5 linked regions of the Cricetulus griseus genome follow. The protein of the gene in region 4 interacts with the protein of the main gene of each other region in a pairwise test. Links are inferred from orthologs where the notes say so. Each region holds a gene or a part of one and is shown on either strand. Other genes may lie near its edges. The genes, in order: Clk2, Rbm10, Snrnp25, Cpsf7 and Smad3.

Region 1 (6,017 bases), on a different chromosome or scaffold from region 4:
TCAGATGAATGATCATCATAGCTGCTGTTGGATAACAAATATCCATCAGGAATATCAGGCCAGGCCACATTCCCTGCCACCATGCAACATGGTCCTACCTTAGGGAAAAGAGCCATGGGAGTATCCCTTCTGTGGTGGTGGGGGGCTCCTCCTCCTCTCCAATGACACAAGGAACAAAGAACCAGTTTGCTCTCTAATGTTTCCAAATGAAATTTGGCCTTGTTCCAATCCAACCCACTCCTCTCCATACCACTGAATTATTAAAACCCCACAGACCTAACTTTCATGTAGCTCGTGAGCTCTCTTTAGCATGGCATGTGCGGCCCTGCCCCCTGAAGACATTTCTACCACTGATTCGCATTTGCCCCACCAGGCAAGCTTAGGTACCCTTTCTTAAAAGCTGTCCTTGAGTCAGGCATGGTGGCACACACCACTAATCCCAGCACTCCAGCAGAGGAGAAAGATATATGTGGTCTACACAGAAAGTTCTAAGCCAGCCAGGGTAACACAGTGACACCTTGTCTCAGGAACAAACACAAAAGGGCTAGAGAAATAGCACAACAGTTAAGAGCACTAGGTGCTCTTTCAGAGGACCTGGGTGCAATCCAGCAACCACATGGAAGGAAGCTCACAACCATCCGTACCTCCAGGTCCAGGGGATCCCATACCCTCTCTGACTAATGAGGGTACCTACCAGGGATGCATGTAATCCAAGACAGACATGTAGGCAAAACACTCATACACATAAAATTTAAGGAAAAAAAAGGTAAGTTTCTCCTTAACGACACAGGTCCAGATCCATTCCAACAATGCCTGGGGGTACAGCTTCCACCCCTAAGTACTTCCTCTACAAAAGCACCTTTCAGAAAAATTCTTTTTTTGAGAGTCTCAAAGAAACTGTATAGATCAGGCTGGCCTTAAACTCAGTATGAAGGAACTGTATAGACCAGGCTGGCCTCAGACTCAGTATGAAGCCCAAACTAGCAGTGGACTTGTAACCCTCCTTGTGTCATCCCAAGTGATGGGAGTCATTTTTTTTTTTTTTTTTGGGTAATGCCAGGAAGTGAACTCAGGACCAAATGCTTATTAAGTACATGCTCTGCCACAGAAGTACATACTTAGCCCACTGGCTTCAGCATGTAACCAATAAGCACTTATTGAATAAATGAATAAACCAGTGACCTGGAGTCAGTCTCTCTTCCTGAGGCCTCACCTTCGGGACCGAACATGATAGCTGTCCTCCCTCCGCCGCCGCCTTGTCCGGTCACTGCTACTTGACCAGGAGTGACTTCTTCTTCGCTTATGCTTTCGGCTCCGATAGTGTTCGTGATAACTCCCCCGGCTACCACGTTCTGAGGAATGGTACCTTCGTGGATGAGGCATCTAGAAGGGAAGCAAAAGCAGATGGTAGGAACACTTTTGAGTTCTTAGAAGCTCTCTGGATCTGTGTGCTTATGAAGATGCAAAGCCACCTTCTATGCCTTTTAGCACAGATTCCTCAGTCTTTGTGTTTACAACTTTTGCTTTATGGATTATACAGCCACCTACAAATTTTGGCTGAAAGCTCAAGAAAGTCAAATTCAACTGCTCTACCTCAAACATGGCTCCATGAAGACCGTCAGGTCTGAGCCACAGTTCATGACAGGTAACAAGTGTGTCTGATAAATATTGCCACAGTTCATCTCTGCTGCAATCGAAGTTATGAAGCTCTGCTGTCCCAAATTCTTCACAAGCAAACAAAGTAAAGCTTCAGTTTACATGGCTGTTTTAGTTATTAACAGCAAATCCCTCCCCCCTTACTAGATTAGGAGTACCACAAGGGCAGGACTTCAGTTTCCCAGGATCTTACAAATACTAGCAAGTTCTAGGGACCAGGGTGTGGTCCTATAAATAAATGTCTCTCAGACATCTGGCTAAATCTCTGACGTTATAAAACAGTACCACAAAGTAGTTGTACATTCCCCACCACCACTGTATTTAGTAAGTAAAAAATAATTGGGATTTGCCTTTTCTTTTTGGCTTTTCAAGATGGGGTTTCTTTGTAGTTTTGGCTGTCCTGGAAATCTCTGTAGACCAGGCTGGACTTGAGCTCAAGACATCTGCCTGCCTCTGCCTCTCAAGTGCTAAGATTACATGTGTGCCTGGCTTTTTTTTTTTTTTTTTTTTGGAGACAAGATCTTTTTATGTAACCCTGGCTGGCCTGGAACTTGCTATACAAACTTGGCTGAACTTGAACTCAGAGATCTTGTTAGTCTCTGCCTCCTGAGTGCTGGGATTGAAAGGCTTGCACAACCACATTTGGCTTGTTTTCTTTTTGTAGGAAGTGTGACTTAACATATCCTAGGCTGCCCTCAATTTTTAAAAATGTTTTACTTTATTGATGTTTTGCTTGCATGTATGTCTGTGTGAGAGTGTCAAATCACTTGGAACCGGAGTTACAGACAGTTGTGAGCTGCCACATGGTTTTGGAATTGAACCCAGGTCCTCCAGAAGAGAAGCCAGTGCTCTTAGCCACTGAGCCATCTCTCCAGCCCCGTCCTCAATTTTGATTATGTCACCTAGGATGGCCTTCACTTGCAAGTGAAGAGATAAGAGCAGCCTCATCATACCTGGCTTACCCAGGGCTTCATGAATGCTAGTTGAGCACCACCATATCAACTGAGCTATATCCTCAGCCTAATAACTAGTTTTAAACTAGTATCAGTACTACTTGGCTGACAGCTGGGCCTCCTCCATTAAATAAAACTGGGCCGGTTAAAAGTTATGAGTAATTTTTCAGTCAAAGGAAATACTCAGAGCAAAAATCACTGTCATAATTCAGGAAAAGCACAGGACAAACTGAGTAAGAGGAGTCTCAGGAACAGCCTTGATCCAGGACTGAGGACATGAGGTCTGCAGGTTTAACGCCAACATCTGGTTGCCATTCTGGGCCACTTCCTCCCAACCTTCTTAAAGTAAGGAAGGTGACCTACAGTGCATTGGCCTAAAGTGACTGGCAGAAAACCAAGAAGATGAAGCAGGAAACTTCCCTAGGTAACTCAATCTTGATTAAACTGATTAACCTAAATGCCATTTTACTTAGGACACCCTACCAACAAAGTCACTCGGGTCTTTCTTAGAAAAGCAAATCCAGCCTAACTTTTCTCAACTTGAACATCGTGTCTCCAGTGACACTTCTCGGTTCGTATTAAAGCCCTAGTCCAACTTTTGCACGTATGGAACCGCTCCCTCCAAGTTTACTAGAGGTCTCCCGGCTAAGCGAGGCAGGTCCACCTCCCTCCCTCTTATCGCGCTACTCTGCTGCTTCCAGAGCCCAACACTCCTTCCTAATTTCGCCTCATCCCGTCGCCGCCCGTCTGGTGGTAGCCATCTTTCCGCGGCCCCAAGGTCCGTCAGCCCGCGCGCTCACCGTTCTGGCGGCGAGGCCCGTGCGCTTGTCCCACAGGAAGTCCGTGATGGCGGCGGCACTGCGGCCGGAGTCCCGGCACCCCCGCGGCGACGAAGTGCGGTTCCACCCCCCAACCCGGGGCCCTGGGACCTCCCGCCCCGTTCCCGGGCTCTGCTCCAGTCCCGCCCGCCCGGGCTCCGTCCCCGCCCCCTGGATCCGCTCGGCGCCTCTCGCACCGCCCCCGCCCGGGGCCCGATCCCGGCTCGGTCTCCGGCTCTGGCCTCTCCGCTCCGCCGCCGCTGCCGCGAGCGAGCACGCACGCATGCACGTACGCACGCACGTCCTGCGTCACTTCCCAGACTCTGATGGGCTCCGCCCACGCACACCGGGGGCCTTTCGGTGTGTTCCTCGGCTTAGCCGGCACTCCCTGGAGTTCGCAAAGCTCTGGGTGCGCCCTTTGGCTCGGGTAGTGCGGCACTAGGAACTTGTCACGTGTTTGTTGGGCCGCTACGCATCTTATCCTTTCTCAGGCCTTCTTCTTGCTCTTTACCCGAAGACATTAGTGTCTTTTTTAAATTGGATGTTTAAGGAAAGCGTTGGTAGTTACATTGTATCACTTTTGGGCAAACGACTCCAGTGAGGCTTTCTGAAGTCAGATTCTTCAAGCACAGCTTGAAGATACAACCTCCTAGCCGGATCTCTGTGAGTTTGAGAATTTGAGGCAGCCTGATCTCCAAAGCTACACAGAGAAACCCTGTCTCAAAAAAAAAAAAAAACAAAAAGAAAAGAAAAGAAAAAGAAAAAGGAGAATACAACTTCTGCTGCCCAACGCCAGCTAGGAGAGGTCCCTCTTTGTCCTGCACAAAAGTCATTTATGTTTGGGGTAGGTACATGGCCTGGGAAGAAGAGGATTAGGGGGCCAGAATTGGGAAGCATGGTGTTTTATTCTCCTTGTTTTTAGATATACCTTAAATTATTTGTCTGTAGCAGATTATGTGCATGTCAGTGCAGGTATTCATAGCGGTCAGAAGAGGGCGTCGGTTCCTCCCCCCCCCCACCTGGAATTACAGGCAGTTGTAGGTGCTGGGTTCTCTGGAAGAGCAGTTCGAACTCCTAACCACTGAGCTATCTCTCCAGCTCCAGTTTACTAAATATTAAAAAAGAACAAGAAGTTAACCATGATGGCTAATGCCCATAATCTCAGTTCTCAAAAGGCTGAGGCAGGAGGATTTGAAAAACTCAAGGCCAGCAGGGACTACAGTGTGAGATTGTCTCAGAGAGAAACTAGCTCAGAATGTGGCCCAATTGATAGAGTAGTTGCCTGTTATCCAGCAAGCACTGGCTAGAGAAACACACACACAATTTACACATGTAATGAATGAATCCCAGAACGTGAGAAGTGGAGGCAGGAAAATCAGTGGTTGAAGGTTATCTTTGGCTACACGTCTCTAAAGCTATCTTGGGGATACTTAAGACTTTATCTCAAAAGCAAACCTTTATGTTTTAAATTTATTTATTCATTTGAGGAGCTGGAGAGATAGATAGCTCAGCAGTTAAGAGCACTGACTGTTCCTCCAGAGGACCTGGGTTCCTTTCTCGGCACACACATGATGGCTCATATCAGTTTTGTAATAGTTCCAGGGCATTCAATATTTCTTCAGCTTCTTCAAGCATTGCATGCATGTAGTATACAGATATACATTCAAGCCAAAATACCCATCCACATAAAAATAAATATGTATTTAAAAAAAACAGGAAATAGAAAACAATACTATACAAAGGAACTGGGAAATTGTCAGAAAGGAGAATTGGAAGGGAAACAACCCTCATTTAATAAATACATTAAAGTTAAGGAAAATCTGAGTAGAAGTGGGGGAGAATAGTCAGATGGAGATTGGACTAATTAACCAGAAATAGTTTAGAAATTACCTATGTAGAAAGAGAGCCAGGCCCAATGGCTCACACCTTTAATCTCAGCACTCTAGAATAGAAACAGACGCAGGCAGATCTCCATGAGTTCAAGGCCAGCATGATCTGCGTAATGAGTTTGAAGACAGGCAGGGCCACATAGCAAGACCTGTCTCAAAAGATGTGTGTGTGTGTGAGAGAGAGGGGGGGGAGGAGGGGATTGGGCAAGCAATTTAATTTCCTTCTCAGGGATGCTTTCCCAGGTCATTTACTGACTGTTTACTGTGTGCCCAGCCTTGTACTCAGCACAAGTTTCTTTTTCCTCAGAGCCTCAGTCTGAGGATTGAATGGGAGAGGACACAGACCTGTAAACAAATAATGGTGTCTGCCACGGACCCCCCCCAGCCGGGTATGGGAGTCCCTGGGATGAGGGTTCTTGAAGAATAGGTGGGTAAGGATTCGTCAGTGACAGAGACAAACCCAGAGGCAGTTTGAATCTGAGTGTATTTTGCAGTCCTCAAACGAGGTTTTTTATAGAGATACTTTCTCAGAGGATGTTTTTGTTAAACAAACCCAAACATATGACATTATTGTTACTTAGCATAGTGACAAAGAAATCCAAAACATAGAATCATCCAGGGTTAATCAAAACATGGGATTTGTCCTTGATTAGTCAAAACATAAGACCCTCCTTAATTAACATAGTTATCATCCAAAGCTA
Region 2 (4,319 bases), on a different chromosome or scaffold from region 4:
TTGGTAGAGGTACACTGAGAGTGTTGGGAACAAAAATGGCTGATAGACTCACCTCAATGGGTGTCACAATGCCCTGTTTCTTGCGACCCAGACCACTGCCTTCTTTCCAGCCCATGGCCTGGAGCATGCGACTGCCAATGTTGTCACTGCCTAATCCATCCCGAGTGGGCTGTTCAAAGTCACTGCAGGTGACAGTGTTACAGTGTGAGTGGTGTGCCAGCCCCAGACCCCCTCACCTGGTACCTGGCCCTGTACTCACACAGAAGCTGTAGATATGCCACCGTATTTCCTCCTTTTGGGCTCTGGTGGCTCAGGGATACCATACTTCTCCCTGCGTTCAGCTGCACGGTCTCGGTACTTCATTTGCTACAAATTAGTGCACGGGAAGATGTTGGAATTGGCTGTTATTTTCAGCAGATATAGGCATGGATGGGGCTGGGGGGAGGCATACAGGTCTCTCTGTCTGGCCCAGTCTTAGGTCCTGAAGGTCAGGACACAATGGCATGGGAACTGGGAAGAAGTCTCCCATCAACAGGAAAACAGATGGCAGTCAGGCTGTACCTGGCTAAGGAACTTTTAAGTCCTACTGCCTGGAGTGACAGGGACTTGGAAGGGGAAGATGGAATGGAGCCCAGGAGTGGGTCACACCTCACCTCCATGTCATTCTTTTCTAGTGCTTCTAATTCATTTTCTGACAAGTGGGCTCGCCGATGAATCTCAAGGTTTTGCTGTAGAGGGGGACAGAAGAAGAGTAAAGCAATTGGGCTGAAATGGGCTAGACACAGGCTATCCTGCCAACTCTCTGCTCAATTACCTTGTGGAGCCCAGAGAGCTGCTGGTGCCGGATGAGTGCCTCCTTGCTGGGAAACTGGCGGCGGCAGAGCAGGCAGGCTAGCTTCTGCCAGTCTGTGAGCTTTTCTTCCCGCTCAGGACCCCCTCGCTCCTGCTCCTCCTCACTGTCACTCTCCCCGCTGTAGGCTGCCACCAGCCCTCGAGGTGGGCTCTGTAGACAGTGAGGGTGGGAAATCAGCAGCCTTGCTGAGATCAGAGACCCCTGCCCTTTTTGCTCTGACAACTCACTGGACGATCATCATTGGCCAACTTTGGGAGATCCATGCTGGTGTGCTGTCTTTCAGCTAGCGCTCCCTGAGGTAAAGGACACAGAAATTCAGGGCTCCCCAGAGGACCCTAAGGAGTAATGAGATTGTAGGTGGGGCACAGATGGACAGTTACAACACACCTTCTTCTCAAGGATAGCATAGCCTGCATCTGCAGTGGCCGATTCCCGCCTCTCATCATCTCGTAGGGCACTAATAGGCTGGAAGCTGTTTTTGAAGTTTTCTTTTTGCTTGTTGAGACTGCGGGCCCACCGCTCCATGTCCTTCGCAATCTGGGGGGGGGGGGGATTAAAGTTCCCAGAATTCCTCGAACTTGGGGCTTTATTCTCTCACCCATGACCCTTGCAATAGTAGCCCTTCCCGCCCTGTAGCCTCAAGTCTGGTACCTTTCTTAACTCAACCACTGTAAAAGGCTGTGTATACCTGGCTCTGGGGTCTCATCCTTGTAGAACATTCCTTTAAAAACCATAAACCATGCCCAAATACTTCCACCTTCTCCAAACCATCTTATTAAAATAAACTCAAGCTCATGCCAAGGATCCCTTCCTTCTACTGACTGTTTCCAAACATTCCCCTGCCTCCCACCTACTCCATGTAGTTTCCAAAGGCAAAGGCAAAAGCAGCAGCAGAAATAGTGTGGGCAGATAACAACTGAGCAAGCAGGGTCAGAAGGGCAGTGGGGCAAAGGTGTTGGTACAAGATCCTATTTTCTGTATTGGCCTGGGATCCTTTTCAAGCCCCTCTCTGGTTACAACCCCAACTATTTCTTTCTTGACACAGGTTTATTTCTCTGTGTAGCCTTGGCCATCCTGAAACTCACTCTGTAGACCAGGCTGGCCTTGGAGATCCACCTGCCTCTGCCTCCCGAGTGCTGGGATTAAGGCCACCACTGCCTGGCTGCAACCCCAACTTCTGATTTGGCACTTGTATCATTATTTGTTCTTTCATTTTTACTTTCTAAATACAGAGAACTACATACTTGTGTATGGGAATGGGGAAGTAACTGGGTCTTGTAACATACTAGACAAGCACTCTTCCACCGAGCCACACCCCTAGGGTTGTATATAATTTCAATTTATGTGTGATGTTCTGGTTGGTTTTTGTCAACTTGATACAAACCTAGACATATCTGGGAAGAGGAACTCTCAATTAAGAAATCTCTTCCAACAGACTGGCCTATTGGTAAGTCTCTGGGGTATTTTCTTAATTACTGACCAATGTGGTAGGACCCAGCTCACTGTGGGCAGTGCCACCTCCTAGGCAGGTGGTCCTGAGTTGTGTAAGAAAGCAGACTGAACAAGCTACGGACAGCAAGCCAGTAAGAAGCACTCCTCAATGGTCTCTACATCAGTTTCTGCCACCAGGTTCCTTCCTCGACTTCTGTTCATGATGAAAAACCCTTTCATGCCCATGTTGGTTTTAGTCAGTGTTTATCATAGCAATAGGAACCTAAGACATGTGACATGGTGTCAAGTTTAATGCTTTGTGTTTCTTCCAGTCTATGAATTCCTCAGGTTGCTGAGGGAATACTTACTGCTTGCTTCTAAGTGCTGTGCTTCAATGTTATACCCTTTCTCTACAGAGGCAATGAGATTCTCTCTAACTGCTCTCTATAGAAAACCCTGCAATGTTTCTTAATCAACTTCATATAAGCCTACGAGAATTTATATTGGATCAACAGACATCCACCAGCAGCATGAAGGTTACCTTCGAGGGGCAGAGAAAAGCTGCCAGAGCTCACTCAGATGGTGTAAGTCACTTTATGGTGGTAGGTAGTCCTGCTACAGTACCCCACCTCCCAAAATAGATCTGGCTCAAGAGTCCTTACTTTCTGAAGCAGTTACAACCTCTGTCCATTCCCACCCACTACTCTACTTTCCTTTAAGCTGAAGAGGGCAGGAGGTGACAGAACACAGACTCCAAACAGGAGATGATGGCTGGAGGTTCACCTGTTGGGCCGTCTTTGTCTTATGCTTCTCTTTCTTCTCTTTTCCCTCCTTGGATGATGGCCCCGTCTCCTTATGTCCATCAGCAGACTGCTCCAAGGCAGGTATGTAGGTCCGCCGCTCTCCATCCCAGTAAAGATACTGTTGGCTCTGAGCATTGTAGTAATACTGAGGAAGAGAATGGGAAGAGGTGACATGAGGGAGGACCTCTAGGGCTAGCTGCCACACAACCACAGTCCAGTTTTCCCTAGCCTACCCCGTCACCTACCTGGGAGTTGGGGTCATAGTATAGACCAGTCTGGGGGTCATAGTAGTAGCCAGATGTCTCATCATATTGGTAAGTAGAGACATCAGGAACGGCTGTGGGGAGGAAAGACAAGGTTGTCAAATTCCTCCTTGCTTGGAGAAGTCCACACCCTTACCTACAGGCTATGTATGGCTACTCACGGTACTGGCTGTAGGACTCTGGGGCAGTGGGACTGGTGGCTGGTGGTAAGGCAGAGCTGGGATGAGTAGGACTCTGAAGCTCAGACTTGAGCACAGCAGGTGACATGATGGTATATGACTGCTCATGGGTCACAAAAGGGAACACAACTCAGTGTCTGTTAATACCCTCCTGCCCACTCAAGATGCACCCTGCCAGCCCACCAGCCTCCCCAGAGTGTCAATCAATGTTATCCTCACTTGGCTGTTGGAAGTTGTACCCTGACTACTGCTTCCCTCTGCTGATTGCTGATAAAGCCCAGGGGCAGCACCAGGCTGGGCTCGGGAGAAAGCCTGCAGTGACACAGAGTCTGCCCCAGTCTCAAGGGAGGCCTCAGGACCTGAAAGGAAAACCAAGGAGAATACCCATGAATGTTAGCGCATAAGACAGTAGGCTTCTAGGCCCCACAATTAAGCTCAGCAAGAGAGGATGAGGCTCACCTGCAGCAGCTGGGTCTCCTTTGGTCCCAGTCATGCCAGGGCCCTTGCTGTTTTTAAGGTAGCCATGGGCATAGAGGGAATCTGTGCCCTGGCTGCTGCCATAGCCTTCATCCTGTTGATAGTAGCTGTAGTCAACTGGAGTCTCCTCAGGGGCAGCCCAGGCACTCTCTCCACCCTGGGAGGCCTGAGGGGCAGGTGAGAGATGACAGGGCATAAGGGAAGACATCTGCTAGAAGTATCTGTCCTACACATGGAGCTAGCATTTCCACTTGATAGAAAAGCATGCAGCCTTAAGGTAGTAAAGAGCAAGGGGTCCTGACAACAACAGTGG
Region 3 (6,098 bases), on a different chromosome or scaffold from region 4:
CTACAGAATGAGTTCAGGACCAGCCTTGGCTACATGAGACTGTGTCCCAAAAATAAGAAGGAATGGGTTGGGATAAAGGGAATAAATCATATTACATGAAGCACTAACTAAAATAGATCTTCTGGAGTTTTGCTATAAGCCTTCTGTGAGTACCACATTTGTTATTATTTTTATGAATTACTATTATTATCATTAATTTGGTCCTCACTACTTAGAAGAATGAGCAAAGTCATTTGGGCTCTCGGTTGACCAGATGGATCAGTATCATCTCTCCATTTCCTTTATTTCCTTTTCTAGTGTTCATTGCCAAATACATAATGGAATTTTTTGGGTTGTTTTTTTTTTTTGGTTTTTCGAGACAGGGTTTCTCTGTGGCTTTGGAGGCTGCCCTGGAACTAGCTCTTGTAGACCAGGCTGTTCTCAAACTCACAGAGATCCACCTGCCTCTGCCTCCCAAGTGCTGGGATTAAAGGCATGTGCCACCAATGCCCAGCTCATAATGGAATTTTTATGTAAAAAGTGGCATATTCATCTATATCAGCTAGGGGTTCTAGAGGAACAGAACCAATAGAATTGATGCATAATAAAGGAGTTGTAGCCGGTTAGTGGTGGTGCACGCCTTTAATCCCAGCACACGGGAGGCAGACGCAGGTGGATCTCTGTGAGTTCGAGGCCAGCCTGGTCTCCAGAGCGAGTGCCAGGATACTCTCCAGAGCTACACAGAGAAACCCTGTCTCAAAAAACCAAAAAAAAAATTAAAATAAAATAAAATATATTAAATGAGTTGTATTAGATTGGTTTGCCTGATACAGTCTGGGTATCCAACAACAGCTGCCTGCACACTGCAGAACCCAGTAGGTGCTCAGTCCTCAAGGCTGAATGCCTCTGCAGTTCTAATCTGGTGCTGGAGACCAAGAGAATTCTTGGAGAAACACTGGTCTTCAATCGATGTTGGAAGCTGAAAAGGCTGAGTTCCAGTGTCACTGGAGGACAGTGGGAACAGTGACAGCAACAGAATAGATAACTCATGAACAAAATACAAAAGCAAGCAGTCAAAAAGCAAACTCTTTCCCCTCAGACCACTTTATATTAATATCTAAGCTGCTACCAGAAGATGTGGCTCACATTCCAGGTGAGTCTTAGCATTTCAATTAATGTAACCAAGAAAATCCCAGATACCAGAATGGCCAAGTAGTTATCAGATTTAAGAAAATCCACCACAGGCATGCCCAAAGAGTGACCTGATCTAAATAATACCTCACAGATAAGCCAGAGACTTGTGTCACAACAATTAGGAGCAGTGGCTGCTCACCCAGCACCCAGGTTCAATTCACAGGACCCACATGATGGTCCATACTCTGTAGCTCCAGCCCGAGGGGATCTGACACCCTCTCCTGACATCTGTGGGCATTGCACACGAATAGTGCTTAGAAGAAAAAATGCAAAGCACCCATACACACGCGATTAAAATGGGCACTACAATTGTTACAGGGACTGGTGTAAAAGGGCAACAGAAAGAACAAGAAGACTGGAGACCAGAGACGATGTGAGCAGATGGGAGCCTGGCACTGCTACTCTGTGCAGCACAAAGGACTACGGGTCCCGCCTAGATTTTTTTGTTTGTGTTGTCTTTCGTGAGAGGGTTTACTTACCTGTTGTGGCCCTGGCTATCCTAGAACTAGCTCTGTAGACCAGGTTGGCCTAGAACTCAGAGATGAGTTCTGCCTGCTTCTGCCTCTCAACTGGTTGGACCAAAGGTGTGAGCTACCACGCCCGGCTCAATCTCATTAGGTTTTTTGTTTGCTTGTTTTGTTTTGTTTTTCGAGACAGGGTTTCTCTGTGTAGCTTTGGAGCCTATCCTGGCACTCTCCACTCGCTATGGAGACCAGGCTGACCTCGAACTCACAGAAATCTGCCTTCCTCTGCCTCCCGAGTGCTGGGATTAAAGGCGTGCACCACCGCCCCGCTCAATCTCACCAGGTTTTAAGTGGACCTTTCTGGTCACTTTTTGGAATGGAGCCCGAGGCAGAATCCCTGAGTTGCCGAGACCTGGCAGGGACATAGACTCGGAGGTAGCAACGACTGATCCCGAGCAGCAGGAGGCACCCACTTCCTAGTGTCGCTTTGTGAGTGATGCTGTCCTGGTGGAGGCGGAGGGGGGTATAGGTGTCTTGGGTGAGGCGACGGCAGTACTGGCCCTCCCTGACGACCAGACCAGGTAGAAACCCAGTGGACCCGACTGAATTCTACAACCAAGCACACGACTGCCTGCACATAGCTCCCGCGCTGCCCGCACTGCGCACGTGACCCGCCCTATCCCAGCCTAACCGGCGTTCTCGCACCTCTCATTGGTCACTGAAGTCACGCTGTGCACCAATGACCGAACTACCTCGCCAGGGGCGTGGCGCAGTCACTGCGCACGCGCTGGAAGGCAGGCCCGGCTGAAGGAGCGACGGAAAAGCGAGACTACCGGTAGCTGGCAACCCTGGAAGACCCGGAGCCCGCGGATCGGCCGGAAGTGCCTGAGGACGATGAGGATGATGAGGAGGCATTGCCACATTCCGAGGCCGTGGACGTGTTCCAAGAAGGTCTCGCCATGGTAGTGCAAGACCCGCTGCTCTGCGACCTTCCGATCCAGGTGCGCGACAGGGCTCTGGATGGGCACCCGTGGTCCCACCAGCGAAGGACGCTTCTGTGCATAAGCGGAAAGTTTGGGGTGAGAGGACCCCAAAACACTCCCTCGCAGGCGTGAAAAGTTAGGATTAAACAAATACTAAGATTTTTAACTCAGGAGCAGTGTGACTGGTCTTTTTCCATTTGCCTCAAGCATCAATATGCGTGGGCATAGTGATTCTTTAATGTATTTTTTGACCTTGTCCGTCAAGGGTGTTTTAATCTAACTTCTGTGTCCTCACAGAACTGGGAATCAGACTTGGAGCCTTTCGAATGCTAAACAAGTGCTCTACCACGGAGTTACACCACTTTCTCAACTTTTACTTCCCTCAGTGTTTTATTAAAACATCTGTCGTTACCAGGCGATAGTGGTGGCACACGCCCTTAATCCCACCACTTGGGAGGCGGAGACAGGCGGATCTCTATGAATTCCAAGCCAGCCTGACCCATTTAGAGCTCTAGAACATAGTGTGTCCCTGCCTCAAAACAAACAAAACTATTTTGTCATCACTGGGTTTTGGTAGCTAGTAAATTTGCACCCTTGCCCTGCCTCAACCTAGTCCTACCACACTGCTTGATATAGGACTCTCAGAATCATCAGGCCCAGTGTTCTTCCCTTGTGCAGCTCTGTTTCCATGCATGTTCCTTTGCTCCCTTGTGGGACTTTTTAAATAGAAAATCCTAACCATAGCAGGCAAGAACCCCATATCTGTGCTCTTCATAATACAGGGCACCACTTTGGGGCACTGTCAGCTTGGTTTCCATTGTTATTGTTGGGGTGTTAAGAGAAAGCATCTCCACATCCCTTTGGTCTTTCCTAGGTCACTTTAGAAGAGGTCAACTCTCAGATTGCACTGGAATATGGCCAGGCAATGACAGTCCGAGTGTGCAAGATGGATGGAGAGGTAATGCGTAAGTACCACCATCTTAGTTACTTTTCTCTTGCTGTAAAGAGACATTGCAATCAAGGCAACTTCTAAAAGAAAATGTTTGTGGGGCTCACAGTTCCAGAGGGCTAGAGTCCATGATCATCGTGGCAGGCAGGCAGGCAGGGTCCCGGAGCAGTAACTGAGAGCTTTCATTCTGGTCCACAGGCATGAGACAGAGCTAACTGCAGTAGTGTGGGCTATTGAAACATCAAAGCTCACCCCCAGTGACACACCTCCTCTAAGGAGTGCACACCTAATCCTCCCCAAACAGCTCCACTGGGGCCAAACATTCAAATAGAGAAGCCTATGGGGGCAGTCTCATTCAAGCCACAGCCACCCTTCTCTCTGTAAGCCTGAGCTTTCACAGCAGCAAGGTACTAGCAGAGACCGTGCCTGGGTGTGCTGGGACAGCCACACAGCCACCCTGCCCAACAGAGCAGAGCCCTGGGTTTCTCTCCCATTGCCTGGGGCTCTGTGTGTGGATTCTTCCATATGTGTCCATGATTCCAGCTGTGGTCGTCGTACAGAATGCCACGGTCTTGGACCTGAAGAAGGCTATCCAGAGATACATGCAGCTCAAGCAGGAGCGGGAAGGAGGCATTCAGCACATCAGCTGGTGAGTGAGGCAACAGTACCTTCTGTCATTCCTGGGGTTGTGTGGGCACTACAAGGAGGCAACTTTCAGCTCCTCTTGTGTACACCACCAGTGCTCCTCTTTCGGGTTGGGTAATTCTGTGCCTGAGGGTCCCTCCCCAGTTGTCCTTTCTAAATACCCTTCACTGATGTCACCCTACCCACACTGCTGGATATCGTCACGTGGAAACACCTGACACCTTAATGCCTCCCTAGTTATATATAGGTGGTGTACCTGTCAGTGGCCCCTTCCCTCCTCACCTAGGTGCTGCTGGATCAAGTATCCTGTTATCCAACTCCCTCAGTATTGTCACCTATTTCCTTAGCAAGATGTGTTTGGTACCTCTTGCTAACTGCCTTGGGCCTACCATATACATCATGTAGGGTAAAATGTCCAGAAGGGGAATCTATCTGTCCTGGGTGCCATAAGCTGTATGCTGCAAGCCTCTATCATCCCAGCTGTTTGTTTGGTAGCATGTGCATCACTTAAGTCCCTTCTTTGCAGGTCATATGTGTGGCGGACGTACCATCTGACTTCAGCTGGGGAGAAGCTCACAGAGGACAGGAAGAAGCTCAGGGAGTAAGTCTAATCCACATCCTGAGCTGTAGGTCAGTGGTCCATCAGTGCCTGTGTCCACCAAAAGGCTGTAATAGGAAGGTCCCTAGCTGGATTGACTGTCCTGTGGGCATTTCCTTGGGATTTCCCACTTAATGCAGGGCAAGGAAACAGCCCTGCTATTCTCACAGCAGCCTGGAGCTGCATGAAGGAAACCAGGTGTGGAGGGGGAAGAAGGCTATGGCCATCCTCACCTGATGGTTCCTGATCCCTCAGAAACCCAGTGATCCTTCTGTGAGTCAGACACTGTACCATTCTATCTTTTTCAGTTATGGCATCCGGAATCGAGATGAGGTTTCCTTTATCAAGAAGCTTAGGCAGAAGTGAACCCCAGAGTGACCCAGCAAGATGGTGCCCTTCCCTTGTCCTAACAGGAAAAGATGTTGGGGTAGCTGCATTCCTGAATTGCCTGAGTGGGGTTGTCAGCAGGAGCCCAGAACACTTGAACATGGAAAGTTCCTCGGTCCCTCGCCTTCCTATAAATTCTGCCTGAAGATCCAATGTGGTTTTGTGCCTGGCCTCCAAAATAAACCTGTTTGCTTTGTACATGGACAAATCAAAAAGACACTCTATGTGGTTGAGCTGGATCTGTCCCATATTGGAGGGAGGTGAGGGCAGACACTGGTATTGGGAAGCGCCAAAGTCTCAGAGGCCACACCTAAGCTCTGGAACCATACTGCTACCTCTCTTGCCATGGCCTCATAGTATGGAGTGACACAGCTGAGCAGCTAGCTTTGTTTCTGCTGTGAAGAAACAGGAGCCTGCATCTCGGGGCCTGTGATAGGACCTAGCAGGTGACAAGGATGGAAGTGGAGGCCTCAGGCCTCCATCTAACAGGTTCCCTATAGCCATGTTTCTCCTGGGCTCAGTGAAAAAGACAGCATGGTGAGGAATGAGTTACAAGGGTGCAAGATGCTCCCCACTGTGGATATGCCTGTACTCCCCTAGGTCCATGTCCCAACACTGGCTACTAACCCCACTACAAGACTTCACAGAGAGGTGACAGCCAGTGATGTCTCTGACTTAGAGCAATGGTTCTCAACCTTCCTAATGCTGCAATGCTTTAATACAGTTCCTCATGTTGTAGTGACCCCCGACCATACAATTATTTTCATTGCTACTTCAAAACTGTAATTTTGCTACTGTTCTGAATCGAAATATAAATATTTTTGGAGATAGAGGTTTGACAAAGGGGTCGCAACCCATAGGTTGAGAACCGCTGACATCGGGAATTGTACGTCCAAGGT
Region 4 (5,519 bases):
ATGGTCTCCACGTACCCCCTCTTGGGACTCGGACGCACTCACGTTTCCGAGCCTGCGCCTCAAATTGTGATAAGTTCTGCCGGGTGGCTGGTCTCACATCCACTTTTTCTCCATTAAGAACTTTTCCTGGCAAGAGTTCCAGCAATTTGTGGACAGAATTTTCAGAGGCTACCACCACCTCAGCATACCTGGAGGAACCAAGTAAAAAGGAGAAAAGTATTTAGACACTGGAAAAGGAACAAAAATTTCTATTTTACAAAGGAAAAGGCATCTTGCTATGTTAAATATTTAAACACACACACACACACACACACACACACACACACACACACACACACACACACAAAATCAATCAATCAATCACAAAATCAGTTTCAATCCAGCTAGGTCCTCAATCTATAGCAATGTGTCAAAACCAAGGTAGTAAGCTAGGCTGGGGTGGAAAGGAATTGGAATCCAAGTTCAAATACATTACAGATCTGTTACCCTAACAGTCACAAACTAAAGGAGACCACCCAAATCCAGATCTCACCCTTTAGACTGGCCATTTGCACGGTTCTCTGCAAATTTTAACTCCACCACATCATAGACTCCTATAGAGCGAATAACCTGGATCAGCTGCTGGTCTGTAGTCCACTGGGGCCGGCAAGATGGAAAAGGGAGAAATGTCAAGAGCAACATGCCTGATACCCACCCACCCAGATGTCCCAAGTCCTGTTCCCACATCTAGGACTCCAGCCACAACCACTGACCGCCCACAGGAAACCCTAAAGCCCAGTAATATTTCAATCAGTGCAGGCTTTCCCCATTGTCCTGACTTCTAAACCCATCTAATCCCACAGCCCCTATGTTTGGGGATTAAGACAGAAATTTATTTAAATTTTGACTGACACGTGGGCTGGTTGATCATCAAATCAAACAGACTGCAAGCAACTTTAATTATAATTGTTGACAGGCTAGAGTTGACCATGCCAGGAACTTTCCCATTAGTACATACATTTCCTGATTTGGCATCCCCCACCACCAGCCCAAAAACATGTCCCACAGTTAACTTTTACAGAACAGTCAATGCACACCCCAAGTACCCTAGAGCTACCAAGGTCTTTGATCCCCATCACCCACCATTAGCACAGGACCATCTAATGACCACCAAGAGTTCAAGGTGTTCACTCTGAAATCTCGTCCCACAGATGACCCTGCTAGACATAAAGCCCCAGGGTCAGGGGCAGTAATAAGATGGCAGAAAAGGCAACTACCCACTTAATCAATGCTTTCTTCGGCACCAGTACGTCCTCAGGATAGTTCTCTTTCAGAGATCAATCCAACCTGATCCCAGGAAAAAGAAATCCAACCCCATCAGAGCACAAAACAGTGCAACAGTGGTTTCTGAAAATGCCATCACCTCCCAGTGCTCTCCCTCCAGCCCACCCATAAGACTTTTGGTTATCCTTGCTTACCCAGGAGAAGCTGCCTACATAGACAGCTGCTCGTCTACTCCGCAGGCCACTGTATGTATACAGGATTGCAGGGGTCTTGTTGTTTGGTTTGGGAGACGGCTCCTGGCGAACAGGAGGGGGCGGTTCAGTGCTACTGCTTCTATCATCTGAAGGCTGTGAGGTAGCCGTCAACACATCATCATACAGGTCAATCTGATCTGTATTGTTGAACTCCGAGTCCTAAAAGATGAGGGATTGACAATGGAGTCTTCAAACTTTTCAATTTGTTTCCTCTGCTTCATTCTAGTTGACTTAGAATCAATAGTTAAATGCTTTGTAAAGAAATGGACAAGACCTCCCTGTCCCACTCTAGGAAACTGGGTAAGAAAGAATTCCTGATTAGAAACTCTTAGTATTGCTTATAAAATTTCCAAGACTATTAGTAGTATGCAAGTTTCTGACCTTAGCCTCCTGTGAGGATCAGAAGGCAAATAATGAATAAGCAAACAAACCACTAACAATTAGATACATGTGCTACTGTCAACAACAATATCAGATTCAAAGACAACATCTAAAATATATTAATAAAAATGTATTTTCAATATCAGGCTATCCACTATTGTTACATTTAATAAGAGTACATTTATTCAGAAATATAAAGCATGGGGAAAGAATGTTAAAGCAAGTAGGCAATAAAATGCAAAACAAAACACTGAGTTACCCTTTGGTTTATACAACTGATCAGGGAAATTTTCAAGCTCATAGAATACAATCTCAGCACTCGGGAGGCAGAGGCAGGCCAGCCTGGTCTCCAGAGCGAGTGCCAAGATAGGCTCCAAAGCTACACAGAGAAACCCTGTCCCGAAAAACCAAAAAAAGAATACAATCTCAACTTTCTAATAACCATCTAAGAAACATCAAAAAAAAACCAAAAAACAAACAAACAAACAAAACACATGGAGTAGAGGATTGGGGATATAGCTCAGTTGTACCTGAGTGCTTGCCTTGCACAAGAAGGCACTGGGTTCGAGTCCTAGTATTTACATGTCAAATATCAGGTACAATGATTTTCCCTTATATTTTGAGGTACAAATTAAGACTGGGTATAGTACAAAAAAAACAAAAGACAAAAAAACCAAACCAAAGACTGTATAGTGGCACATGTGACTGTAATTTCAGTATTTGGGAGGTAGAGACAGAGATCAGCAGTTCACAGCCAGCTTCATACAGAGTTTGAGACTAGCACAGGCTGTACCAGACCATCTTAAAAAACAAATAAATAAATAAAAGGTCAGTGAGATGACTTAATGCATGTTCAATTACCTTGACCCACTCAGTGGAAGAAAAGTTTTGTCATCATACTCATATACATATACAAAACAAATGTAAAAATGTACATAAATCACCAAAATCCCAAACAAACAAAAAACTTCCTCCTCCCAATTAGAGCATCCTGTTCAATGCTCTAACCCTCAGAAATCATTATACTTGGCTCTCTATACCTGTCAGTTTCCCATCTACAGACTTAACCAGACAAATATCAACTGAAGACATCCTAAGTTTTTAAAGATGGGGTAGAAGATATATAGCTTACTGATTAAGAACATTGGCCACTCTTCCAGAGTACCTGGGTTTGATTCCCAGAACCCACTGGCAACTCACAACTCCAGTCCCAGAGGATCAGACACCTTCCCCTGGCCGATGAAGGCAATGCATGTACATGGGGTACAGACATGCATAAGCAAAACACTCATATGCATAAAAATAAATTAAAAGAATTAAAACTATGGGGATGGAGTGCTTGCTAGCAAAAGGAAAGTCCTGTATTCAACCCTTAGCAAAGCCGAAATAATCATTGTCATCATCTGGAGATGTTTTTAAAGCATGGGGAAGGAATGCATAAAGATTTTATATGCAAAAATACCTCCTCCAAGTGGTTCTGAACATGCTAGGCAAGGTCTACCAATGAACTGTATCTTTTGATATATTTTTTTTTAATTTAAATTTTAAATAACTTCACAGGGTCTGGTGAAGTTATTAAGACTGGTCTTGAACTTGCCTCAGCTTCCTCAGTAGCTGGGGTTACAGGCCCACGCAGTTTTTTTTTTTTTTAGATTTAAGTACCCGAATATTTTATTAAAGAGGAAGACCTGAGACCAATTCCCCAAAGATATTAAGGACAACTAGACTTTATACAACCCACCAAGGTTTTTTAAAGGGGAAAGAAAGATTTTTCAAATGAAACTTAAAAGACAATAAGGAAATAACTATTTTGTATTCAATGCCAGAAAATTAGGAATCCTTTTATGCAGCATCTGTGATTCAGAGACGTATCTAAAACTTGTAAGACAAAGCCATCCCTGAAAACTGGCTAGATAAAAAAAGTCAGTGAGCCAATAGAAAGATTTCAACTTACAGAGCAAACATTATCAGTGGAAACCTTTTCACACTGTTAGCTTAAGGGAATCAATGGGCTCTTCCATAATCTCTGCAAGAACAAGATAGGCTCAATCCTGGAGGACCTTGTTTCTATATATTATCACTTCAGAAAGAAAATCCAATAAATTTAAATGTTCCAAGTTTCAGTGGTCTAACAGAGGATGGGAACTGTTTTTAAAAAGTGAGCTGGACATGGTGGCGCATGCCTTCTATCCCAGCACTCAGGAGGCAGAGACAGGAGGATCTCTTGAATTTGAGGCCAGCCTGGTCTAAAGTGAGTTCCAGGACAGCAGGGATACAAAAAAACCTGACTTAAAAAACTGAAATAAAAACCCACCCATCCTACAAGACAAGTTAAAAAAACACACCCACATTTCATAGGTGGCAACACTAAAATTTTTATTATAAGTTTAAATTGGAAATATGCATTCAACATTGAATAAATATCTTAGTAAGAATTTTGTGTTCAAGGACACACACACAAAAAGCTACAGTTATATCATGAATTTCCTACCAGGAGTTTGATTTTTCCCTCCAATATGCTCAGTGTTCCTCCCTTCTTGGTATCTGAGCCAGTGAAGTAATTAACTTGGGTATGTTTTTCTCATAGTCCTCATCTTACAACTCTCCCCCATCACTGTTGCCCATTACTCTGCATTGTTACTATCCATTTTGTTATTTTACAACTTTTGTTGTTGGGAGAAGGGGGGAGAATGGATTCTAACAGTTTCACATTGTAGCCAAGCTGGCCTCCAATTTATAGCAATACTGCCCCAGTCTTTAGAGCATTGGAATTATAGACGTGTATCACCACACCTAGTTAGTATCACTTTTACTTTTAACCATTAGGAATGGCATCACTTTTCGAGCACAGAGATTTACACTCTCCCAACAACTCACTACCTCTGATAGTGTCCAGTAAACAGAAGTAGTTCAAATCCTTCCTGATGTAGAACCAAGCATACTATAAAGCCCATCTCAGCATGAGAATGAAAGGAACAAACAGAAAATTCAGCAGAGTAGCAGTTCTCAGGCATCTTTTTAGTTTTTCCCTGTCCAGTAGAGCAGTTCGAGTCCCAGGGCTCCCAATGCCACATCAATAAAGTATCTCCGCAAAAGGTTTTTGCAGTATATGCTGCCAGAGATCAGAAGCAAATACAGGGTTCCATGTAGTTAATGCACTAATTTTCCTTTGGGAGCAAAGTGCTTGGGGGAGTTGTATGTAGGGCTAGCTTGGGGCAAATCAATTAACTGTCTAAGACATTAAAAAATCCAACTTATACTGATTGCCTTCCATCTAAGCCAATTTTGTCGTCGTCTTTTTTTTTTTTTTTTTTTTTTTTTTTTTTTTTTTTTTTTGAGACAGGGTTTCTCTGTGTAGCTTGGAAGCCTGTCCTGGAACTTGCTCTGTAGACTAGGCTGGCCTTGAACTCACAGAGATCGGTCTGCCTTTGCCTCCTGAGTGCTGGCATTAAAGGCATACACCACCACCACCTGGCTATCTAAGCCAACTTTTAGCAACTCTACCCAGACTTTTTAACCAATTAGCAGCTTCTAGATTACACTAAAACCAGCTTCGCCAAAAATTAACTTATGGGGATGGGGTCTCCTTTCTTAACTTTCAGAACATAAGACACTCAAAAT
Region 5 (6,285 bases), on a different chromosome or scaffold from region 4:
CTCCCAGCTCTGCCAATGGGTAGGTACCTGCAGCCCTTCTCCAGATCTGGGTCAGCCCCACAGTTTTCACGACATGTCTGTCTGATGGAGAGTGTTTTTACAAAGCACTGACAGAGCCCACATGCTTCAGGTCCCAGTGAGCTGTTATAATCCCATCTACAGCTTATTTTGGAAAATCTTACCAGCAGAACTAGCGGGGGAACAATTACTGGAAAAACCAAGGCACACCACACATTTCTTTGCCTCCAAAGCACTTTGTCTAAATTCAGACTACTTGGTGACGCAGCTTGCAGGCAAGCTCCCAGAAGCCTCCAGTGAGCAAAGGCTATCTGCTGTGGCGACATGCGGGTGCCAGCTGGAGGTGAGACCTGGGCCGCAGGCCCACTTACAGCTGCTTTAGAAAACTAGCCTGAAACCTTACTCTGTTTGGCCCACATTGCAGGAGGGCATGGCTGTTCTGGGAAGGGGCCGCACCCGCCACTAGGCTGCTATGCCATGCTGCCAGGCGGCAGTGACGCAGTAAGCTGTGTAGGACGGGGTGTGCTGGCAGGGTATCCTGCATGGTGATACACTGCCCTAGAGAGGGGCTTCTGCCAACACATCCAGGGCCATTATCCTGACCCTCCCTGATCATCATGGGCTTTGCCTGAATAGGGAGGCTCACGCTCAGCCTGGGGTGTCTGCCTGAAGGCAGTGGGCCTTCCAGTTCTTTTCCTTTGGGGTTTTTGCACTAACAAATTAATTTTCTAACCTTTCACTCTCATTCCCTAAATGATCTAAATCCTGAACTAAAGGTTGGCTCCGGCATTTCTCCAGCCAGACCTTTGGGCCGGGTCATCATAACATGGCTGAAGGCTCTTCCGCAGTCTAACCACTTGGGTTGCTTGCTTGGTCACCCTCCCTGGATTTCAGATTAAAGGGCCCAAAGTGCTTTGCTCCCTGGCACCATGAGGCATCCACGAAAGAACAGCAGCTCTAAGATCTTAATGGAGAAGCTGGGCTTTACAGACCTCCATCCTCGGCTGAGAATACGACTTTCCATAAGTCATGCTCATCGGGATTTCATTACGAATGGTGGCCCAGAGCCAATATTGAAATGGGTTTGGCTAGGGTGCAGAATGACTGCAAAACAAAATTGATTCCAAACATCTGGAAAAATGAAGAGAAGGGGTGAGGAACTCGCAAGGCGCTGGCTGCAGCTGATGTGTGGGTACCTCTATGTCTGTCTGCTCTGGGGGCTAGGGAGGAGGGATGGAGCAGAAGGGCATGTAGCCCTGCCTCCCAGAACGCTCCTGTCCAATATGGAGAAAGGAGACTAGATTCTCATTAAACCCAGTCTAGACCGTCTGAGGGCCTCAATTGAGCAGACCAGGTAGGCCTGGGTATTACTGGTGCTATATTTAAAGTGCTAACTGAAATCCTTTATAAACACTCACATCTCCTTTGTTGAGTTTACTAGTGATGGAGCCAGTGGTAGTGTCAGGGAGACAGTCACCCTGAGAGTCTGTCCCCAGAGAGACAGAAAACACAGCGGCAGCCAGGAGAGGCCAGGATGGAACGTCTCTTCCACTTAACTTCATGCATGTTCTTTTCCCTCCCTAGGCTTTAGCAGAGAAAGAATAATGCCAATGTCCCCACGCTGGGCCTGGAGATGCTGACCAAGCTTAAGAACTGCTGAGCACCAGGCAAAGACCATGCTGCTATACCTGGCCACCATACCTGCTTTCCCTGGTCCCCGAGGGACCTAGGCCAGTTGCCTGGAGTTGGCTCCTCCCCACCACCTGCCAAGAGCTCCTTAGTCACTGACCTGTACTCCGCTCCCCAGCCTTTGACGAAGCTCATACGGATGGTGCACATGCGAGTCAACTGGTAGACAGCCTCAAAGCCCTGGTTGACAGACTGGGCCAGGAGGGCAGCAAATTCCTGGTTGTTGAAGATCTTCAGGTTGCAGCCTGCCAACCACAGATAGTCAGATAAAGCACCCTGGAAATGCCCAAATGGCCTGATTCACACGCCTCAGGTGGCACATAGTGGTTCCACTCAGTGGCTCCCTGCTCTGTTCATCCCTATGCAAGGAGGGGGCTTCCCCATTCCTACACTTGATTGGTACACCCTTGCAGGGAGAAGCATGTACAAGGGACACTAAAGGCTGGCCCACATCCTCCAGCTGTGGGGATGTCAAATGCTAAGAAGGAAGCCTGGAAGTGGACTTGGATGACGCAGGGATCTTCTGGAGAGGCTGAGGCAGGACTCTAGGGTTCAGAGAGGCAAGGGACCTGAGCCTAGCTGCCAATGCCTTATGGTGTGGTAGCCACCTGGGGACAGGTGCTCCCTCATCGGTGCAGTGAGGTGGGTAGGGGGCCTACTGCGAGAGTCAGAAGCATCCTCCACCTGGCTCCTCTGATGGCCCTGCCTCATGTTGGGGCTAAGGAAGAGAGCTGGGTCACATAGTGATGTCTTGATTCAAGCTTGGGCCACAGTGACATCAACAACAATGTACCCAATTCTCCAGAATGCAGCTGGAGATGGGCACAAATAACATGGAAAATAAACCTTGTTTGAAGTCCTACTGCCCAGGTGCCAGGAGAGCAAGGCCCAGGAACTAGAAAACCAGCACAGACCCTATCAGCTGTGGACTCTGCCCTGCCTCTTCTGGTGATCCTGTGTCCCCTTTAAAAGGGGGAGGGGGATTGATCGTCAGGGCCCTGACAGACTCTAAGCTGACATGATATAACCAGAGATACTCAGCCTTCACCAGGGAGGGAGGTGGAGCAGAAAGGCAGAAGCTAGGAATACCACCCCTCCACCTCCATCCCTGCATGCTCCTGGGAAGGTGGGTAGACCAAAGCACAGACCACACCCACTCCTGGGGCTACAGCCCTAGCTGAGCCAAAAGACTGAACACCAGGCTAGTCAGCCAGCTCTCCACGGCTCAGGCCTACTGTGGCTTCTTCCCAGCTCTTGGACTTGGAGAAGTAAGTGTGGCTCATTCTGAATTCTTTCCCTAGCCTTTCTTAGAGCCACAGGGGTTGCTAGAGAGGAAGTGTGAGCTCAGAGATGTGAACTTTGTAAATAAAACCACAAAAGCTGCCAGAGCAGAGATCCATTCCTGGCTGAGATTGTCTGAGTTCTTTGGTTTACTCTGCCCACAGCCCACTACTCCATTGTCCCCTACTAAGCAACAAATGGGAAGAGGAGCTAGCTACGTGTGTCCCAGGCAATGGCCTGACACAGGCCACCTGCTATATGAGGAGTACTTTGGCTTTCCTCCTTGGTGGGGTCCAGCCCACAAGTTCTTGGGACCCATGAGACATCCTCAGAAAACCCTCAACTCCCCAGAATAAAACCCAAACTATCACTTCATCCCAGGCCCAGAATGCCTTTTAAACATCTAACTTTTATATGGTACATCCAGCCAGTGTCCAACCCTGCATTTCTTCTATACCCTTGTTTCAGTGTCCTCCCTGCCACATGCCCTCAGAAACTTCACCCCACCATCTCCTGTCACTTAATGTCTCCTCCAGGGTGTCCTCCCTGATCATCCATCCCACAAGTACATGCCCTTTCTCCCCATCAGCTGCTTGCCTGGGATTTACAGCCCTCTGTGTGTCAACACTCATCTGTCTTCATCTTAAACACTGTAAAGCTGTGAGTACAGAAGGGGCACCTTCCCCATCCTGCCCCAGTTCCTGTCACAGACCCCCAAATACTCTTCTGTTTGGAGGAGTGAGTAAAGGAAAGGGATCACCTCACACTGGTGGGTGAAGGGCCATGCCCTGGGTTACAGATTTGTTAGATGCTACCTCTGTTCTCATGAGCTTCAGTGGTACACAAGAGTCTATACAGGTACAGTGTGGACACCAGTGTGGAGGAAAGGCAAGGAAGCCTTCCCAGGCATGCCTCGGGTGGTGACCCCAGGGCCGCACTTCAGGGGCTTACCTGGAGGGATCTTGCAGACGGTGGCAGGGTGCCAGCCATAGCGCTGGTTGCAGTTGGGTGACTGAACAAAAATAGCACTGTCACTGAGACACTCTGCAAAGACCTCCCCTCCAATGTAGTAGAGCCGCACGCCTCTCCCTAGGGAGTCATGAGACACAGGGTCAGAAAGACCACCCCACAGGGCAACAAGGCAAGCTGGGGAGGGGCAGCAGACAGAGCTGCAAGTGGCTACTCCAAACAAGAGGAGCCTAGAGCCCAGCCCAAAGCCAAGTGGGAGAATGGTGGGCAGCTCTGAATTCCTAAAGCAGTTGGAATAGGTGGCACACGAAGGAGCCTGGACCCAGCTTCTACCACTACCCAGACCTGAGCTGTCTAGAGGACAGCCATAATAACCTACCTTAGTGACGACTGCAATGGTGCCTGGTGAGGGACAGCTGCTGCCGCCCCACTGCTCTAGCTCCACCTCCCCCCCAAAAGTCACAGAAGTGCCTTGGTGATGCCAGGGTGCTACTGAGGCATCAGCCCTCTGGCCCCTTGCCAAAGGGACCTCCCTGCGCATGGTTTCCTAGTGCAACTCTTGCTTTCCTTCATCACCTAAATCTACTCCAGATGGACAGAAATTAATTTTCAATTGGCTCAGCACTCCAGAGGTTATGTAAACATTGAGCTCTTCCCAATGGGGATGTCCCCTTATGCTTAGGAGTCCCAGAGTGCAAGAAAACAGCTCAACTTGAAGACTGGAGCCTTGTAGGACCAGGTGACATCTACACACTGCCTGTCCAGACCCTTACTGCAGCTGTACCCCACACTCCCACCTCCTCTCATCTGGGTCCAACAGTACTTGGTGCTAGGGAGTCTCAGTGCCCCCAGGAGGCAGCAGTGGGGGTGGGGTGACTCATTACCAATGTGCCGTCTAGTAAGTTCCACAGCTGCATTCCGATTGACATTGGACAGCAGGCCCAGGCAGAAGCGCTCTGAGTTGGAGGGATCGGTGAAGCCATCTACTGTCATGGATGGCTGTGAGGCGTGGAATGTCTCCCCAACTCGCTGGTTCAGCTCGTAGTAGGAGATGGAGCACCAGAAGGCTGGCTCACAGTAGGTCACTGGCTGTAGGTCTGCAGAAACAGAGTATGCCAGGTCAGTGGGTACCCAGGGAAGCTCTGAAAGCTCTCATCCTTTGATCCCTGACCCCAACTTCCATTGCACAAACCCTTCAGGGTACCAGCAAGTGAGATCCTCAGAGTCTGAGGGAGACCCTGCCAGCCTCTAAGGGAAGCAAACCAAGTCCATTTCTTCGGAGCCCACACATACCCTGCTCCGTAGAGTCTACCCTTCCTATGAACAGAAGCAGCCTTTAGAGACAGGCTAGCCCAAACATGAAATGGGTCAGGACCAGCCAGCACCAGGGCCAGCACTGTGAGCAGCCCTAAGTATGCTCTAGATGTGGTATGAAGTCATGCCATCTACAAAGTCACCTCCCAGCCTCTCTTCTGAGATTCTCAAAGGAGCCCATGTCAACCTCTGCCTCCCAAAGGGCCTTTATTTTGGTGTCATTCGGCCTGAGGAGCAATTTGTTATCTGTCATGTGTAATGACATGGCCACAGTGGCCTTGTGAGTTCAGCTGCACTTCATGTGTGAACAAGCAGACCAGAAATCAGGAACAGGAAGGGCCATGTGTCTCACAACAGAAACCTTGGCCCATCTTTTATGTAGTTGATAGCTGTTAGAACAATGGGACACAAAGAAACAGATTTTTTTTGTGGTTGTACAGCCTCTCAGCTGGGAGCTCCTCAGGGCAGACTAGCCACATGAAGGCCAACTCTCTCCTAGGATAGCTGAGGACGACTTAAAAAAGGAGTCCTCTCACATGGTCCAGCCTTCCACTTCATGTCTCAGTACCCATGTGGAATTAAAACAGCCCCTCATCACATCACAGCCTCCTATAGGACTGCATGTGCCCAGCATGGCCTCCAGATGCTCCTCCACACTGTAGCTGTCCTGCTGGCCTTGGGGAGGAGCTTCAAGTCCACCGCCTGCTCCCTGTCACCCATCTCAGATCTATACCCTCACTCTGGAATACTCCCAAGTATTCGTGCAGCCGCCTGGTGATTCTGTGTTTCTTTGTGCAGGCTAAGTATCCTGACCATCCAACTTGACTGTCAGGTCCTAGAGTCCCCACTCCTCCTCTGCATCGGGCTCCCATGAGAAGGGAATAGGGATGGCTTGGCACTGGCCTGAGAATCCTGTCTACTTCCCACCAGGCAACTTTGTAGAGAGCTGCTGGGACCTGTGCTCACTCTCTCTTGAGTGCCCAAGCCAAAGAGAACAGCAGATGCTGTGCTGCC

What was found.
Region 1: the proteins of Cpsf7 (region 4) and Clk2 interact in binary tests that used the Homo sapiens proteins (3 or more experiments, as listed by UniProt). The link is inferred for Cricetulus griseus from reciprocal best matches to the Homo sapiens genes CPSF7 and CLK2.
Region 2: the proteins of Cpsf7 (region 4) and Rbm10 interact in binary tests that used the Homo sapiens proteins (3 or more experiments, as listed by UniProt). The two-hybrid records come from large-scale screens. The link is inferred for Cricetulus griseus from reciprocal best matches to the Homo sapiens genes CPSF7 and RBM10.
Region 3: the proteins of Cpsf7 (region 4) and Snrnp25 interact in binary tests that used the Homo sapiens proteins (3 or more experiments, as listed by UniProt). The two-hybrid records come from large-scale screens. The link is inferred for Cricetulus griseus from reciprocal best matches to the Homo sapiens genes CPSF7 and SNRNP25.
Region 5: the proteins of Cpsf7 (region 4) and Smad3 interact in binary tests that used the Homo sapiens proteins (3 or more experiments, as listed by UniProt). The two-hybrid records come from large-scale screens. The link is inferred for Cricetulus griseus from reciprocal best matches to the Homo sapiens genes CPSF7 and SMAD3.

What each region holds. Positions count from the first base shown.
Region 1 is NW_023276806.1:65,382,736-65,388,752, forward strand, and holds the start of Clk2 (dual specificity protein kinase CLK2), read right to left. Parts: upstream 3,559-6,017; 5' UTR 3,410-3,558; intron 1,384-3,409; coding exon 1,214-1,383; intron 25-1,213; coding exon 1-24. UniProt on the Homo sapiens protein: Dual specificity kinase acting on both serine/threonine and tyrosine-containing substrates. Phosphorylates serine- and arginine-rich (SR) proteins of the spliceosomal complex.
Region 2 is NC_048604.1:125,449,965-125,454,283, reverse strand, and holds part of Rbm10 (RNA-binding protein 10), read right to left. Parts: intron 4,173-4,319; coding exon 3,989-4,172; intron 3,889-3,988; coding exon 3,749-3,888; intron 3,630-3,748; coding exon 3,512-3,629; intron 3,425-3,511; coding exon 3,333-3,424; intron 3,233-3,332; coding exon 3,068-3,232; intron 1,391-3,067; coding exon 1,241-1,390; intron 1,189-1,240; coding exon of another isoform or gene 1,147-1,188; coding exon 1,081-1,146; intron 1,004-1,080; coding exon 815-1,003; intron 729-814; coding exon 654-728; intron 367-653; coding exon 260-366; intron 183-259; coding exon 53-182; intron 1-52. UniProt on the Homo sapiens protein: Binds to ssRNA containing the consensus sequence 5'-AGGUAA-3'. May be involved in post-transcriptional processing, most probably in mRNA splicing. Binds to RNA homopolymers, with a preference for poly(G) and poly(U) and little for poly(A).
Region 3 is NC_048600.1:46,025,282-46,031,379, reverse strand, and holds Snrnp25 (U11/U12 small nuclear ribonucleoprotein 25 kDa protein), read left to right. Parts: upstream 1-2,411; 5' UTR 2,412-2,596; coding exon 2,597-2,638; intron 2,639-3,494; coding exon 3,495-3,585; intron 3,586-4,112; coding exon 4,113-4,218; intron 4,219-4,740; coding exon 4,741-4,815; intron 4,816-5,120; coding exon 5,121-5,178; 3' UTR 5,179-5,418; downstream 5,419-6,098.
Region 4 is NC_048596.1:49,932,349-49,937,867, forward strand, and holds part of Cpsf7 (cleavage and polyadenylation specificity factor subunit 7), read right to left. Parts: intron 1,677-5,519; coding exon 1,458-1,676; intron 1,200-1,457; exon of another isoform or gene 1,126-1,199; coding exon of another isoform or gene 1,123-1,125; intron 637-1,122; coding exon 533-636; intron 189-532; coding exon 16-188; intron 1-15.
Region 5 is NC_048597.1:175,171,385-175,177,669, forward strand, and holds the end of Smad3 (mothers against decapentaplegic homolog 3), read right to left. Parts: intron 5,055-6,285; coding exon 4,842-5,054; intron 4,078-4,841; coding exon 3,940-4,077; intron 3,118-3,939; exon of another isoform or gene 1,953-3,117; coding exon 1,606-1,952; 3' UTR 1,196-1,605; downstream 1-1,195. UniProt on the Homo sapiens protein: Receptor-regulated SMAD (R-SMAD) that is an intracellular signal transducer and transcriptional modulator activated by TGF-beta (transforming growth factor) and activin type 1 receptor kinases.